Linked DNA regions of Macaca mulatta. The protein of the gene in region 2 purifies or fractionates together with the protein of the main gene of each other region. This does not show direct contact. Links are inferred from orthologs where the notes say so. Each region holds a gene or a part of one and is shown on either strand. Other genes may lie near its edges.

Region 1 (4,382 bases), on a different chromosome or scaffold from region 2:
GTTGTAGGGCTAAATAAAGCAAGCACTAAGTCCTCCTATCTTCCTAGGGGTAGCTGTATGGAAATGGGAAGTGAATCAGCAGAATAAGAAACACTTTAGTTTCTTAATAAATGCTACAGCTTGATAAAGCTTGCCACATATTTAAAGAGAACCTATTATATATACAGACAACAGAACGTTTTTGAACTAAACCGTAGCAATGCTCCATTACCCTCAGCCAACTGTCAAGACTTGTCAAAATATGTATTTCAAGGATTCTTTTCACCGTAAAGGTTAAAGAAATTACTTCAGAGAGATTTCTTACTTCATAGTTATGCAGATGGCATCTTCTAATGAAATGCATTGGCAAGAATAACTACCTTCAGATGAGTACCAGGGCAAGCAGCCATGAACCCTTCAAAAAGTATTAAAAATTTTGTGCATATGTACATTTTGGTGATAAAAGGAGTTATAATTTTTATAGGATTCTCAAAGGTATCTGTGGCCTAAAAAGTTTTCATGGTTCACTCTGCAAAGCACCATCGCATGCTTCATTTAATTTAATGTCACAAGTCCAATGTTCTCCTAACGGTCTTTTTTATAGTTTACACCATGTATTCTCAAGTGAGGAGATATTTACTCCCAAGAGGGCAAAAATTGGTTCTTGGGGTGTGAAAAAATTCCTAGATGTCATAATCGTATATTGCCCTCATGGTACTTAGTATATCTTGTGGTATTAAGATTTCATGGGGACTGTGGGTGAAAAGGAAAAACAGTTTTTAACAAGGCTCCTTAGGGGAGCAACTAAAAAGAAAAAAATTGAGAAACGCTGGTTTACACTAAAAACACAAAGGGTAACAGATAACAATTACAAGAGTAAGTGCCAGTGCAGAGTAACATGCAGGGTATGAAAACCAGTCATAGAAGCAGAGCAGCATAAATACTATTCTTTGTCCCTCACACAGCATAACTGCTCTATGAAAAAATGGACTCTGAAAACAAGTTGATGAATAAACATGTACATATGTCGACTAAGCCTCTGAAATGTCTACTGCAACATTTCTACTTTCACTACATTAGTATCCTCACAACACTTTAAGACATATTCAATATACAACAAAATTATGCAATAGTAAAAAACCTCAACTCTTAAAAATTAGAATACTTACTTTCTTCCTGCATCCGGGCTAGAATCTGTACATCGGTTACATCATTTAGCTTATAATTGGATCCAATTGAATCTTCATCTAATTCTGAAGCACTTAACTCACTATCTATAGAGGACTGAGGACTGAGTGGAGGATTTCTGTCTGAGCTTTTCAAGTTACCTTAAAAAAAAGAAAAAAAATTCAAACTTTGGTAAAGCAACGATTGAATAAATGCCTACTGTAACTAACTTGATATTATATCTTTTAATTCATTCTTGTTCTGCCTTTTCTGCTTAAAAAATTCCCTGAAATTAGAAATTGACTTCATTAAGAAAAATGAGGGCTACTGAGACTCCTTTATATGCTATGGCATAAACATATTTTCATCTAAGTATAACTTATCTATTCTCTTATGTAACAATTCAGCTTTCAACACAAAGTAATTGGTGTTCAATAACTATATGTTAAGGATTTCAACTTGCACAAGATAGCCAATGAAACTGCTCTATAAATAGATGAGTTTATGATGTAGTGTTTTCTTCACTCGAATTCACAGTCATTAACAAACACCATCATCTTTTCCCTCATTTTTCTAAATGAGAAAACTATAATTTGAATAAAATTAGATTCCTTAGAGATTTTAGGAACAAAGACCATGAGGCTTGTTTCTCCTACATTATGCCATGTTTTACAAAACTTCTTTACCAAATTAGTAATGGGGATCTAAGGATTTCTCTGAAGTTTAGTAGTGAAGCACGAAAGATGTGATGAAAAAAAAAAAAGACTAGATTTTTAAAAAGTACTTATCATTCTAAACCAAGACAGAAAACAGACCAGAGAGATAAAGAATACACACATCTAAAAAAAGTCTAACTTGTTTCTAATGAAATATTTTCATCAGATCACCAACTTTTACTAAATAATAAAATCCCAACATTGCCACTAATATTTCTATTACAGATTTATCTGAAACACTTGTTTTCCATTATTCTTCACCATAACAGTCAGCTCCAACATGAAAAGCATGTAAGGAGAGCAAGAAGAGTACAAAATAATTAATCTTTATACTATCAATGAAAGAAGAGCAGAGTGCACATGATATTAAAAGTACTACAAGGTCAGGCTCAAATAATGCCTGAACGAAATTACCTATTTTAAACAAATATTGCAGCTTAAATTTTTTAACATGGTATCATCGTAGGTGAAGTAAGTAGCAAGTAACAACCTATATACTAAGCAAAGAGCAGGATCATTAGACTAGGGAGTGCAGAGGTCAAAATTTGAGGTGGTTAACCTTAATTTTTAAGGAAGTTATAATAATCAGCTATAACAACAGCTTCAGCGACAATAAGAGTAAATGAATAGGTGAATTCGTGAAGAGTAGGCTACACAGTAACAGTCTCACACAAAGAACCAGCGCAGAACATTCTTTCCCTGGTTTATAGAAATCTGGCCTTCCCACATCATTTACTGCCCCTCCCACTCTTTTGGTACATTCACCCCTAACCTCATACTATTATTTAGCTGCAGTATCAAAATTTATTAAAATTCCTATAAAGAGGTTTTAACTCTGGAGTTTTTACAACCCAGGTAGGCTGTTCAATAAGGATCTATTGATTAAAAGAGTCATGTTTGTAACCCATTTAATTAAGCCAGACTTAAAAACTTTTAGGTACATGCTAAAAAAAATTTTATGTATTTTACACACTGGCTTATGTGTGCCTGATATAGTACCTGGTGCTAAGTTGCTCCTCAATGATATTTTCTTTAGCCAGTTAAAAGTTTCATAAGTAAAATGAACTCGAACTACAGATGAATGTTATTTTCTGATACAGTGCAGTAAGCTAAAAAACAGTCCTTAATAGCTCCATAGCATTTTCTCCTTACCTGAATTTCCAGGAAGTATAAGCTGTTTGACTATAGGAGGTCGCACGGGTGTTGAGGATGGAGAATTGAAGCCACTGCTGTATGGGCTACTGGCATTTGGACTGTAAGGACTTGTATAACTCATAGAGTTGAAAGGATTATTATATAAATTCTGCCTCTTGAGAGCTGCATTAATAAGAAGGGGAAAATCAAATTTAATAACTGAGAAAAAGTTAACATTTCATTTCTAAAGTTTTCCTATTAGAAAATTAAATCATTATCTATCTCAATTTAAATGAAAAATATTCTTATGGTAGTGGGAGAAAAATATAATAATCCCAACAAATTGTTTCTATTATCTTAAATTGTGTATGCAAATAAAACCGGAGCCACACCAAACAACAAAAATAACGCAGGAAAAGTAACTCCTAAACAGATTATTGGCCGCTTAATTCACTTCTACCATGTTGGAAAGTTTATTCTTTGATACTTGCTGTATCAATCCTGAGTGACCTTTAAAAATAAATGGAATATAAAAGCATACTTATGTTTTCTCATTTTTCTGTAACAAACGTATTACTTTTCATTTTAAAAAATATTCTTTGGGCCAGGCATGGTGGCTCACGCCTGTAATCCCAGCACTTTGGGAGGCTGAGGTGGGTGGATTACTCGAGGTCAGGAGTTTGAGACCAGCCTGGCCAAAATGGTGAAACCCTGTCTCTACTAAAAAAAAATAAATACAAAAATTAGCCAGGCATGGTGTTGCGTGCTACTTGGGAGGCTGAGGCAGGAAAATCACGTGAACTCGGGCGGCAGAGGTTGCAGTGAGCAGGCAGAGGTTACAGTGAGCAGAGATCGTGCCACGGCACTACAGCCTGGGCTACAGAGTGAGACTCGTCTTGAAAAAATATATATATATATTTTGGAGAGATGTGATCTTACCATGTTGCCCAGACTGGTCTCAAACTCCTGGCCTCAAGTGATCCTCCCATCTTGGCCTCTCGAAGTGCTGGGATTACAGGGGTGAGACACTGCACTCAACCTATGACTTTTTTAAAAAGCTAAGAAATAAGTTGTTTAAATAGCCTTTGCAAAGTTTGGATTTTTTTTTTAAAGCAATGCCGACTATTATGAAGCCAGTTTAAGGTCAAGACATGGGAAATCCTTTAAAAAAAAAAAAGCCAACCTGACTACTTCTGTCAAAAAAAGAAAAAAAAAACTGTGCTATGCATATACAATTAAATAAATAGAACAGCAGGACTAAGATATCAAATGCACATACTTAAAAAATTAACACTAAAAATACTATTTCTTCCTTCAATCTTTTTTTTTTTTTTTTTTTTTTTTGAGACAAAGTTTTGCTGTCACCCAGGCTGGAGCGCAGTGGCA
Region 2 (4,382 bases):
TTAGCTAAAAATAAAAGGGAAAAAAATTTGTCAATGTTTTACCTTTAGAGCAGATTATAAGGATAATAAAGACATTCTCACTCGGATTTCAATATGCTTTCTTAAATTGGGGCTAAAAGGGTGGACTTAATGATGCCAACTAGCCAGAAATTACAAATTTGGAATAACAATAAATAATTTCACATGTAAAACCAAATACTTTGGCTGGGAGCAGTGGCTCACGCCTGTAATCTCAGCACGTTGGGAGGCTGAGGCAGGTGGATCACGAGGTCAGGAGTTCAGGACCAGCTGGCCAAGATAGTGAAACCCCATCTCTACTAAAAATACAAAAAATTAGCCAGGCCTGGTGGCGGGCGCCTGTAGTCCCAGCTACTCGGGAGGTTGAGGCAGAGAATTGCTTGAACCCAGGAGGCAGAGCTTGCAGTGAGCCGAGATCATGCCACTGCACTCCAGTCTGGGTGACAGAGCGAGACTCCGTCTCAGAAAAAAAAACAAAAACAAACTTTTACAATTAGAAAGAAGCACACTGATTAATTTTGCCTATTACTAGAGGCTTGGGGGAGTGTGGTGATTTTGTTTTTTCGTTAATATTCTAAATTTTAAAAACCACAACATAGCCGGGCGCAGTGGCTCGCGCCTGTAATCCCAGCACTTTGGGAGGCTGAGGCAGGTGGATCACGAGGTCAGGAGATCAAGACCATCCTGGCTAACACGGTGAAACCCCGTCTCTACTAAAAAAAAAAAAAACAAAAAATTAGCTGGGCATGGTGGCGGGCGCCTGTAGTCCCAGCTACTCGGGAGGCTGAGGCAGGAAAATGGCATGAACCAGGGAGGCGGAGCTTCCAGTGAGCCAAAATCACGCCACTGCACTCCAGCCTGGGCAACAGAGGAGACTCCGTCTCAAAAAAAACACAACATAATTGAATGTTTACCATAATATGCCACCCACATTTCTATTCTTCACTCTCTATATTAGAGTTTTACACCTCCCTGACACAAGTATGTCTGGATAGCTGTTTCAGATAGAGAGCCTTGCCCGGGAGGCATCCACTGGAGTACTAAAAGACCTAATGCATGGCCTTATCACCTTAATGCTGGATTCTCGGATTGAAGATCTTGAGGAAGGACAACAGGTCATCCGCTCTGTGAACCTCTTGGTGGTGAAGGTTCTGGAGAAGTCGGACCAGACCAACATCCTAAGGTATATCTGTACTCTCAGTCAATAGAGCCTGGGGCATCCTCTCTTTTGTCTACGCTTAGAAACCATCATAGTCAACTCCCTAGGCAAGCTAACAATCATAAATCAACTTCCTAGCCACGCTTAAAGTTATAACTGATATAACTACATCAGTAGTTATAACTGATATAACTACATCAGTTATAACTTTAAGCGTGCCTAGGAAGTTGATTTATTACTCTTCATCGTGGACCAAAGGTATTTTAGCCTGAGACCATAGCTAAAACTAGTAAATACTTAGCCAGCCAATATCATGCATTTTCTAGAATAGGACTGTAAAGTTTGTCGGTTACATTTTTCTTGTACATTTCAGGTACCTTTTATTCTTTCTCAGCTACCAATGACAATGAAAAATAGAGTCACAAACCTTACACTTAGCAAGTGGTGACTTAAAAGGCTTAAACGATGTTTATTTTCTTAACTGAACATCAGGTAGTCCAAGACAATTCCTGATCCATGACCTCTCAATTTATTAGATGAATAGAGTGATCTCACTTGACCTTTCAACTACTGATTTTAATTGGAATGCAGGTTTGAAACTTAATGCTGTTGTGTTGGATTTTTCTTCCAGTGCCCTACTTGTTTTGCTCCAAGACAGCCTGCTAGCAACAGCCAGTTCTCCCAAATTCTCAGAGCTTGTTATGAAGGTGAAGTTTAAATGATTTGATCTCTTTTCTTTCAAAGATGCAATCACTTTGTTAAAAGTATGGGGAAAGAGGAATTGGAGCTAAGAAAGCCATAGGCTCATATCAACCAAGTCATACCTGAAAATATATTTTTCATAATAAAAATATTAATAAAATAATTTTTAAAAAATTTAGCCAGGTGCAGTGGCATGCACCTATAGTAACAGCTACTCAGGAGGCTGAGGTGAGGAGATTACTTGAACCCAGGAGCGAGCTTGATCATACCACTACACTCCAGCCTTGGCAACAGTGAGACCTAATCTCTAAAATATATATATGTTTATGGTTTTTATATATATATGTGTGTATTTTATATATATGTATATGTATTATATATGTATAAATTATGCATACACATACATACACACACACACATATATATATGAATTGGTCTTCAGTTTTTCCCTTCCTACAATTTATATTCTAAGTTCAGGCCTAAACAGTTCGTGGCCTCAAACAGTGAAAGGGAGGAGGTATTTTGTAAATATTTTACTAATTCTCTGAGGATCAAAAGGAAAGAAGTTTGAAACAGATTTCATTTATTTTGGGGAAAAAGATATGTATAGCCCTATGATATTTGGCCTCTTTTGTGAAAGAGACCAAATGAACATATTTATAACATTGTAATACTGTTATTACACTGAATTAGTATCAGATATTTTGTCCCCTTGCATTAGATTTGGTTAAGCAACATGAACTACTTTACTCTCAGGAACCAAGGAAACCCAAGAGAGAATTTCCACCAGGTTAAATGATGGCCCCTAGCTCTGGGGAGTGGGAAGGAGTGGAGATGGGTGATTAGATATGAATGAGTGGACACACTTCAGCTGGTGTCATGATAGAAGTGATTTAAAATTTTCATGTTTTAGCAGCTGAACTTGAAAGATATGATGTGCCACATTTATAGCCCTGGCCATCTTTTAGAAGTGAGCCCAGAGCTTAGGGAATATGAATGGTGACAAATTATCCTCATTCTTCAGTCACTCCTTCTAACTCTTTCATTCTTTTTTCAATAGTGTCTCTGGAGAATGGTTCGACTATTGCCTGATACCATCAATAGCATTAACCTAGACAGAATTCTTCTAGATATCCACATTTTCATGAAGGTCTTCCCCAAAGAGAAACTGAAGCAATGCAAAAGTGAATTTCCCATAAGGACCCTAAAGACCCTGCTACACACCTTATGCAAATTAAAAGGGCCCAAGGTGAGTAAGAATCGCAACTGGTCTCTGAGGGAGCTTGAGAGAAAATCATAGAAATGGCAATGCTATCAGTTGTGCATGTGTCTCCCTCAGATCCTGGACCACCTAACGATGATCGACAACAAAAACGAGTCTGAGCTGGAGGCCCATCTCTGCCGGATGATGAAGCACAGTATGGACCAGACTGGGAGCAAGTCTGATAAGGAAACAGAAAAGGGAGCATCTCGAATAGTGAGTGGCCTGACTTGAAAGATTGAGGGAAATGAGGCTATACCGGAAGTGATCTTATCTAAGGTGTAGGTCACCAGGATACCTTTTCCGAAGGTCCAAGGTGAAGGCTCACAGACTGGTCCAGTCAGTCTCCTGCTGTGGTGCAGTAACCATTTCCACCTTGAAATTTTAAAATCTAAACTAAATATAACCATGTGTTTTTTGGTCCCCAAGAAAGATGCCTAAGGCATTGGTCACCAGGTAAATAGCTAGCTCTACTCAACCTGGAAAGAATGTGTCAGTTCCTTCTCCATCAAGTTGAGGTGGAAATCTGAGACTGGAGGCACTCAGTAACCCAGAATGTTACTGCTTCTGCTGTAAGACCTGCATCATTGGTGCATCTGTTATCTGTAGGAACATACCAATAAGGCCCAGATTTTGAGATATTTTCTGTTCATATCCAACCATCAGTTCCTAATTAATAACTCAAGTCTAACCAATTCTTCCTTATGTCTTTCAACTTTTCAGGATGAAAAATCATCAAAGGCCAAAGTGAATGATTTCTTAGCTGAGATTTTTAAGAAGATTGGCTCTAAAGAAAACACTAAAGAGGTGAGAGTGAAAGGGTTAATCTGAATAGGGGTCTGCTTTATGGTAAAGGGACACTGACACTCATCTCCCCCTCTTCCCTCTTCCTGTTCACCAGGGGCTAGCAGAGTTATATGAATATAAGAAGAAATACTCAGATGCTGACATTGAACCATTTCTGAAAAATTCCTCACAGTTCTTCCAGAGCTATGTCGAAAGAGGCCTTCGGGTGATTGAGATGGAGAGGGAGGGCAAAGGTCGCATTTCCACTTCAACAGGTATGATTTCCTTTTATAGCTCCAGGAATAAGCTCAAAATAGCTCCTAGCTCAGGAACCTGAAGTTTTGGTTGGTTTAAATTCATATCCATGAACCTCAATACTTAATGGTCACCAAATGATCTTCCCATTGCTATATCCAGTAGTCAATTCTTAAGCCACCTGAATTGACCCATCATCAG
Region 3 (4,382 bases), on a different chromosome or scaffold from region 2:
TCTGAAGCTCTCCTCTTTCAGCTCGAAGGCAGGCTGCCCCTGCTGATGGGTGGGCACTGGCTCACTGCCCGGACAGCTTGTGGGAAGCGAGATGCTGGCAGAGTTCAAGGCTCCCTCCTGGAGGAACGGGCAGAGTCACCCTGTGCAGTGCAGTCAAGGTACTTGGGGTGTAGCTTTGCCTCCCCACAACCTTGTCGAAGTAGACTTGGGGGAGAGGGAGCGGGACATCCCACCCCATCACCCAAGATCGCTGGGGGCTTCCACTGCCTGCTACTCTTCTACACAACCAGGCCAGGAGCACAGGCACCCACACAGGCACCCCTTACCTTGCTCTCTGCTCTTGGGGTCTCAGCTGTCAGCTGCACCACAGGTGTGTCCTCCGCTGAGGCTGAATGCAGCTGCCTGGGGAGACAGAGTCAGCAAAAGGTCCATGCCCCACACCCCATAACCCCGGCGTCCCCTGCTCCAGCACCGAGCTGCCACTGCCTTTCCCTGTACTGCTGTGCCGGCTACATGAACACTCAGCTAGAGTGCACCAGGCATGCGGCTGCCCCAAGCGACCTGGCCACAGAGCAGCCTCACCAACCTCACCCAGCAGGAAAACACACAACCTGCCTGCCAGCTCTGGAGGAAGCAGGCTGCGAGCCCTAAAGTCAGCACAACGCAGCCCAAGGGAACCACAAGGATGAGCACATCCCTTTCACTGTGAAACTGACAAAAGGCTTCAGGTGTGGAGGCTGGGGCAGGTGTGGGCAGCAAGCCACCCGAGGTGCCAAGGCAAGAGACTGAGGGCACAAGCTGTTCCAGTATAATAAATAGATAAAATAAGAAGTTATGCTAGAAATAGATGATAGATACGATTATATATGAATATCATTAACCATTAGTTTGTAGCAGTACTCTTTATTCCAATGTTATAATAATCTCTGTTCTACAATTATAACCTAGGACAAACCAGGCCATACAGAGGTAGGAGCTGAAGGGACACGGTGAGAAGAGACCAGAAGACAAGAGTGTGAGCCTCTGTCACGCCCGGACATGGCCACTAGAGGGCTCCTTGGTCTAGCGGTAGCGTCAGTGCCCGGGGAAGGCACCTGTTACTTAGCAGACTGAGAAAGGGAGTCTCCCTTTCCCTGGGGGAGTTAGAGAAGACTCTGCTCCACCACCTATTATGAAAGGCCTGACATGAGTCAAGCCTGTCCACAGCCATCCGGAGGCCTCGTCCTCCCTGTGATGCTGTGCTTCAGTGGTCATGCTCCTGTTTCACTTTCACGTTCTGCTCTGTACGCCTTCTAGAGCTTCTAGAGAACAGTAGCAGAATTAGTGAAAGTACTAAAGTCTTTGAAATGCATAGAAGAAATAATGGCGTTAAGCTGTCCTCTCTCTCTCCCCAACTCGGCTGCCAAACAGGGAAAGGCCTGGTGGACACGTGACTCACGTGACGTTACCTATCACTGGAGATGGCTCACATTCCTTACCCTGTCCCCTTGCCTTGTATCCAATAAATAACAGCTCAGCCAGGCATTCGGGGCCATTACAGTCTCCATGCCTTGGTGGTAGTGATCCCCCGGGCCCAGCTGTCTTTTCTTCTATCTCTTTTCCTTGTGTCTTTATTTCTATGATCTCTCGTCTCCGCACATGAGGAGAAAAAACCCACAGACCCAGTAGGGTTGGACCCTACAGGCAGGACAATCTCCCACTGAGCAACTCTAGGGGATGCAGCCTAAGACCATTCAGCCAGGAGGCAGCAGACCTACGGCCAAGACTCCAGCAAGCAGTAGACGCCACCCCAGGCAGTAACAGGCTTTGCCTGGCTTTTGGAGTTACATGCCCAAGTCAAGTTCACCTGAGGAGGGACATGACTGGGGGACAGGGTCCTGCCCAAGGTTGGCCGCATTTGGCTTCTGGCCTAAGCCCACCCTTATTGGATCCCTCCTTAGGCTGGGAGCACTAAAGAGATGCATGGCGCCAAGGCAAGGCCAAGAACCCTCAGCTGGGATCCACCTGAGCCCTGTTTTTGCCCAGAGGCCCCTTCTCAAGGGGAGCCCACCCGGCCTCAAAGGAGTATCTTTTTTTTTTTTTTTTTGAGACGGAGTCTCGCTCTGCCGCCCAGGCTGGAGTGCAGTGGCCGCATCTCAGCTCACTGCAAGCTCCGCCTCCCGGGTTTACGCCATTCTCCTGCCTCAGCCTCCCGAGTAGCTGGGACTACAGGCGCCCGCCACCTCGCCCGGCTAGTTTTTTTTTGTATTTTTTAGAAGAGACGGGGTTTCACCATGTTAGCCAGGATGGTCTCGATCTCCCGACCTCGTGATCCGCCCGTCTCGGCCTCCCAAACTGCTGGGATTACAGGCTTGAGCCACCGCGCCCGGCCCTCAAAGGAGTATCTGATGACACCTCTGGGTCCTTGACCACACACACACTGCGGGGCAGCTGCCCCACACCACACTCCCCACCCCATCCCCATACTTACTGGCTCAGACACGTGCCTGGCTCCTCCGTGGCAGGCCCAGCACTCAGCTGTTCAGACGCTGGCCGGCCCAGCCTGGTCTCAGGGCTTTCTGGGGGCTGGGCCTCTCTGTGACCAGACAGGGTGTCACCTCTGAATGGGTTGAAGTTTGGGTCATCCAGTTTGTCCCAGTCGAGGTGGTAAGAGCCCCGAGAAGCCGGCATGGGGGGGTCCTCCTCCACCTCCCGCAGGGCCTTTTGCTGCCTCGCTGCTGCTCTCCTCAAGGGAGGCTTGAGGCCAGATCTCTCTCCCAGTCTCCTTGGTGGGGCTGCCCTTTTGCTGGTGGCACCATCAGATAAATCAAATTCTAGTTTTATGGGTCCGCTCCTCGAGGAGCTGGCCATTTGGTCCACAGCTGCTTCTTCCTGAAGACTCAGGGTCATGGCCCTGCCAGTCACCAGGTGGCTGGTCGGGGCTGTGCTCTCAGGACAAGAAGTGTGTGCACAGGGAAGGGCCTGAGTGTCATCTGCTGGCACGGGGGTGCCCATACCCACAGGGCAGGCCAGGGCCTCACCAGGCAGACCCCCCAGGGGTGCTCCTCCACAGGCTTCCTCAGGGATCACACTAGGAGGCGAAGTGGCCCCTGCTGTGGGAGCAGAGACCCCACCATGCCGGCATTCTTCCTTGGCTCTGTGTGGAGTCTCTGCTTTGTGCTGGGACTCTGTCCTGGAAGGGTCTTCTAGGGTCTCAAAGGTGGGTGTCATTTTTCTGTCTAAGGAATAGGAACTAATATTTTCCTCCAAGGCTTGTTCAGGGCTGCCAGACACTTTTTCTGGAGACACCATTTGGTTCTCAGAACTTCCTGGGCTCTGGGAAGAACTTGAGCAGTCCAGGTCAGCCAGGGCACCCGGGCCAGGCTCGCTGGCGCTGCCACTCCCAAAGGCTGGGCTTGCATCCCCCAGGAGGTTGGCGTCAGCCTCCACTGGTTTCTGTAGAATTCCATGAGTAGTTTTGGCATCCACTTCCTTGATGAGCTGTTGGCTTTTAAAACAGACTTAGTCAACGTGAAGCAGTGAGTACTTGTGAGGTTAGGTGGCCTCGGCATCCATTCTCAACACAGGTTTAACTCTCTCACACCAGAAGCAGGGCTGAGTCACCCTTGGCACAGCTTCCCATTCTCCACCCCCCACCCTAGTTCCTCAATGTGGTTCCTTCCTGTCCTCCCAGGGACCAACTCCCTGTGGAACAGATGGACACAGCCACGTGACGTCCTCGCTGACCCCCGCCTCCGCCCCATTTCTTGGGGTTGGCTATGCATGGGGTTCCAACTTGCAGGGGTGCCTGTGGGCTGCTTGCCTGTTTAATTGTGCTCATCATGCACTTTGGCAAGTGCTGGACCCAGAGTTCTCCAGCAGCCTCTGCCACCCAAACAGCACTCGTCATCATGCACAAAGTCTGCACCCAGGCACCACAGCAAGGATGCAGCACAGGCTGCTGCCTGGGGGGTCAGATGTGGGACACCACACCCAAATGCCTCAAGCTGATGCCAGAGAAAGCAGCTTAGAGGCACCTCTCCCACCTGGTAGACTGGGCTCCTCAATTTCCCACTGCTTCCTTTATTTTTATTTATTTATTTATTTTTTGAGATGAATTTTTGCTCTGTTGCCAAGGCTGGAGTGCAATGGCATGATCTCGGCTCACTGCAACCTCTGCCTCTGGGGTTCAAGCGATTCTCCTGCCTCAGCTTCCCAAGTAGCTGGGACTACAGGTGCCCGCCACCATGCCCGGCTAATTTTGCTTTGTATTTTTAGTAAAGACAAGTTTTCACCATGTTGACCAGGCTGGTCTAGAACTCCCGACCTTAGGTGATCCACCCACCTCAGCATCCCAAAGTGCTAGGATTACAGGCAGGAGCCACGGTGACCGACATCCACCA

The links. Proteins that work in one complex are often made in the same cells at the same time.
Region 1: the proteins of CKAP5 (region 2) and SLAIN2 purify together in Homo sapiens (affinity purification with mass spectrometry; 4 studies listed by BioGRID and IntAct, counting the BioPlex papers as one, with this or other methods). This does not show direct contact. The link is inferred for Macaca mulatta from reciprocal best matches to the Homo sapiens genes CKAP5 and SLAIN2.
Region 3: the proteins of CKAP5 (region 2) and TACC3 purify together in Homo sapiens (co-immunoprecipitation; 5 studies listed by BioGRID and IntAct, with this or other methods). This does not show direct contact. The link is inferred for Macaca mulatta from reciprocal best matches to the Homo sapiens genes CKAP5 and TACC3.

Annotation. Positions count from the first base shown.
Region 1 is NC_133410.1:47,883,085-47,887,466, reverse strand, and holds part of SLAIN2 (SLAIN motif-containing protein 2), read right to left. Parts: intron 3,180-4,382; coding exon 3,015-3,179; intron 1,308-3,014; coding exon 1,149-1,307; intron 1-1,148.
Region 2 is NC_133419.1:18,845,402-18,849,783, forward strand, and holds part of CKAP5 (cytoskeleton-associated protein 5), read left to right. Parts: intron 1-1,013; coding exon 1,014-1,201; intron 1,202-1,808; coding exon 1,809-1,884; intron 1,885-2,939; coding exon 2,940-3,128; intron 3,129-3,197; coding exon 3,198-3,356; intron 3,357-3,863; coding exon 3,864-3,947; intron 3,948-4,041; coding exon 4,042-4,201; intron 4,202-4,382. UniProt on the Homo sapiens protein: Binds to the plus end of microtubules and regulates microtubule dynamics and microtubule organization. Acts as a processive microtubule polymerase. Promotes cytoplasmic microtubule nucleation and elongation. Plays a major role in organizing spindle poles.
Region 3 is NC_133410.1:1,844,818-1,849,199, reverse strand, and holds part of TACC3 (transforming acidic coiled-coil-containing protein 3), read right to left. Parts: intron 3,488-4,382; coding exon 2,471-3,487; intron 403-2,470; coding exon 327-402; intron 118-326; coding exon 1-117. UniProt on the Homo sapiens protein: Plays a role in the microtubule-dependent coupling of the nucleus and the centrosome. Involved in the processes that regulate centrosome-mediated interkinetic nuclear migration (INM) of neural progenitors.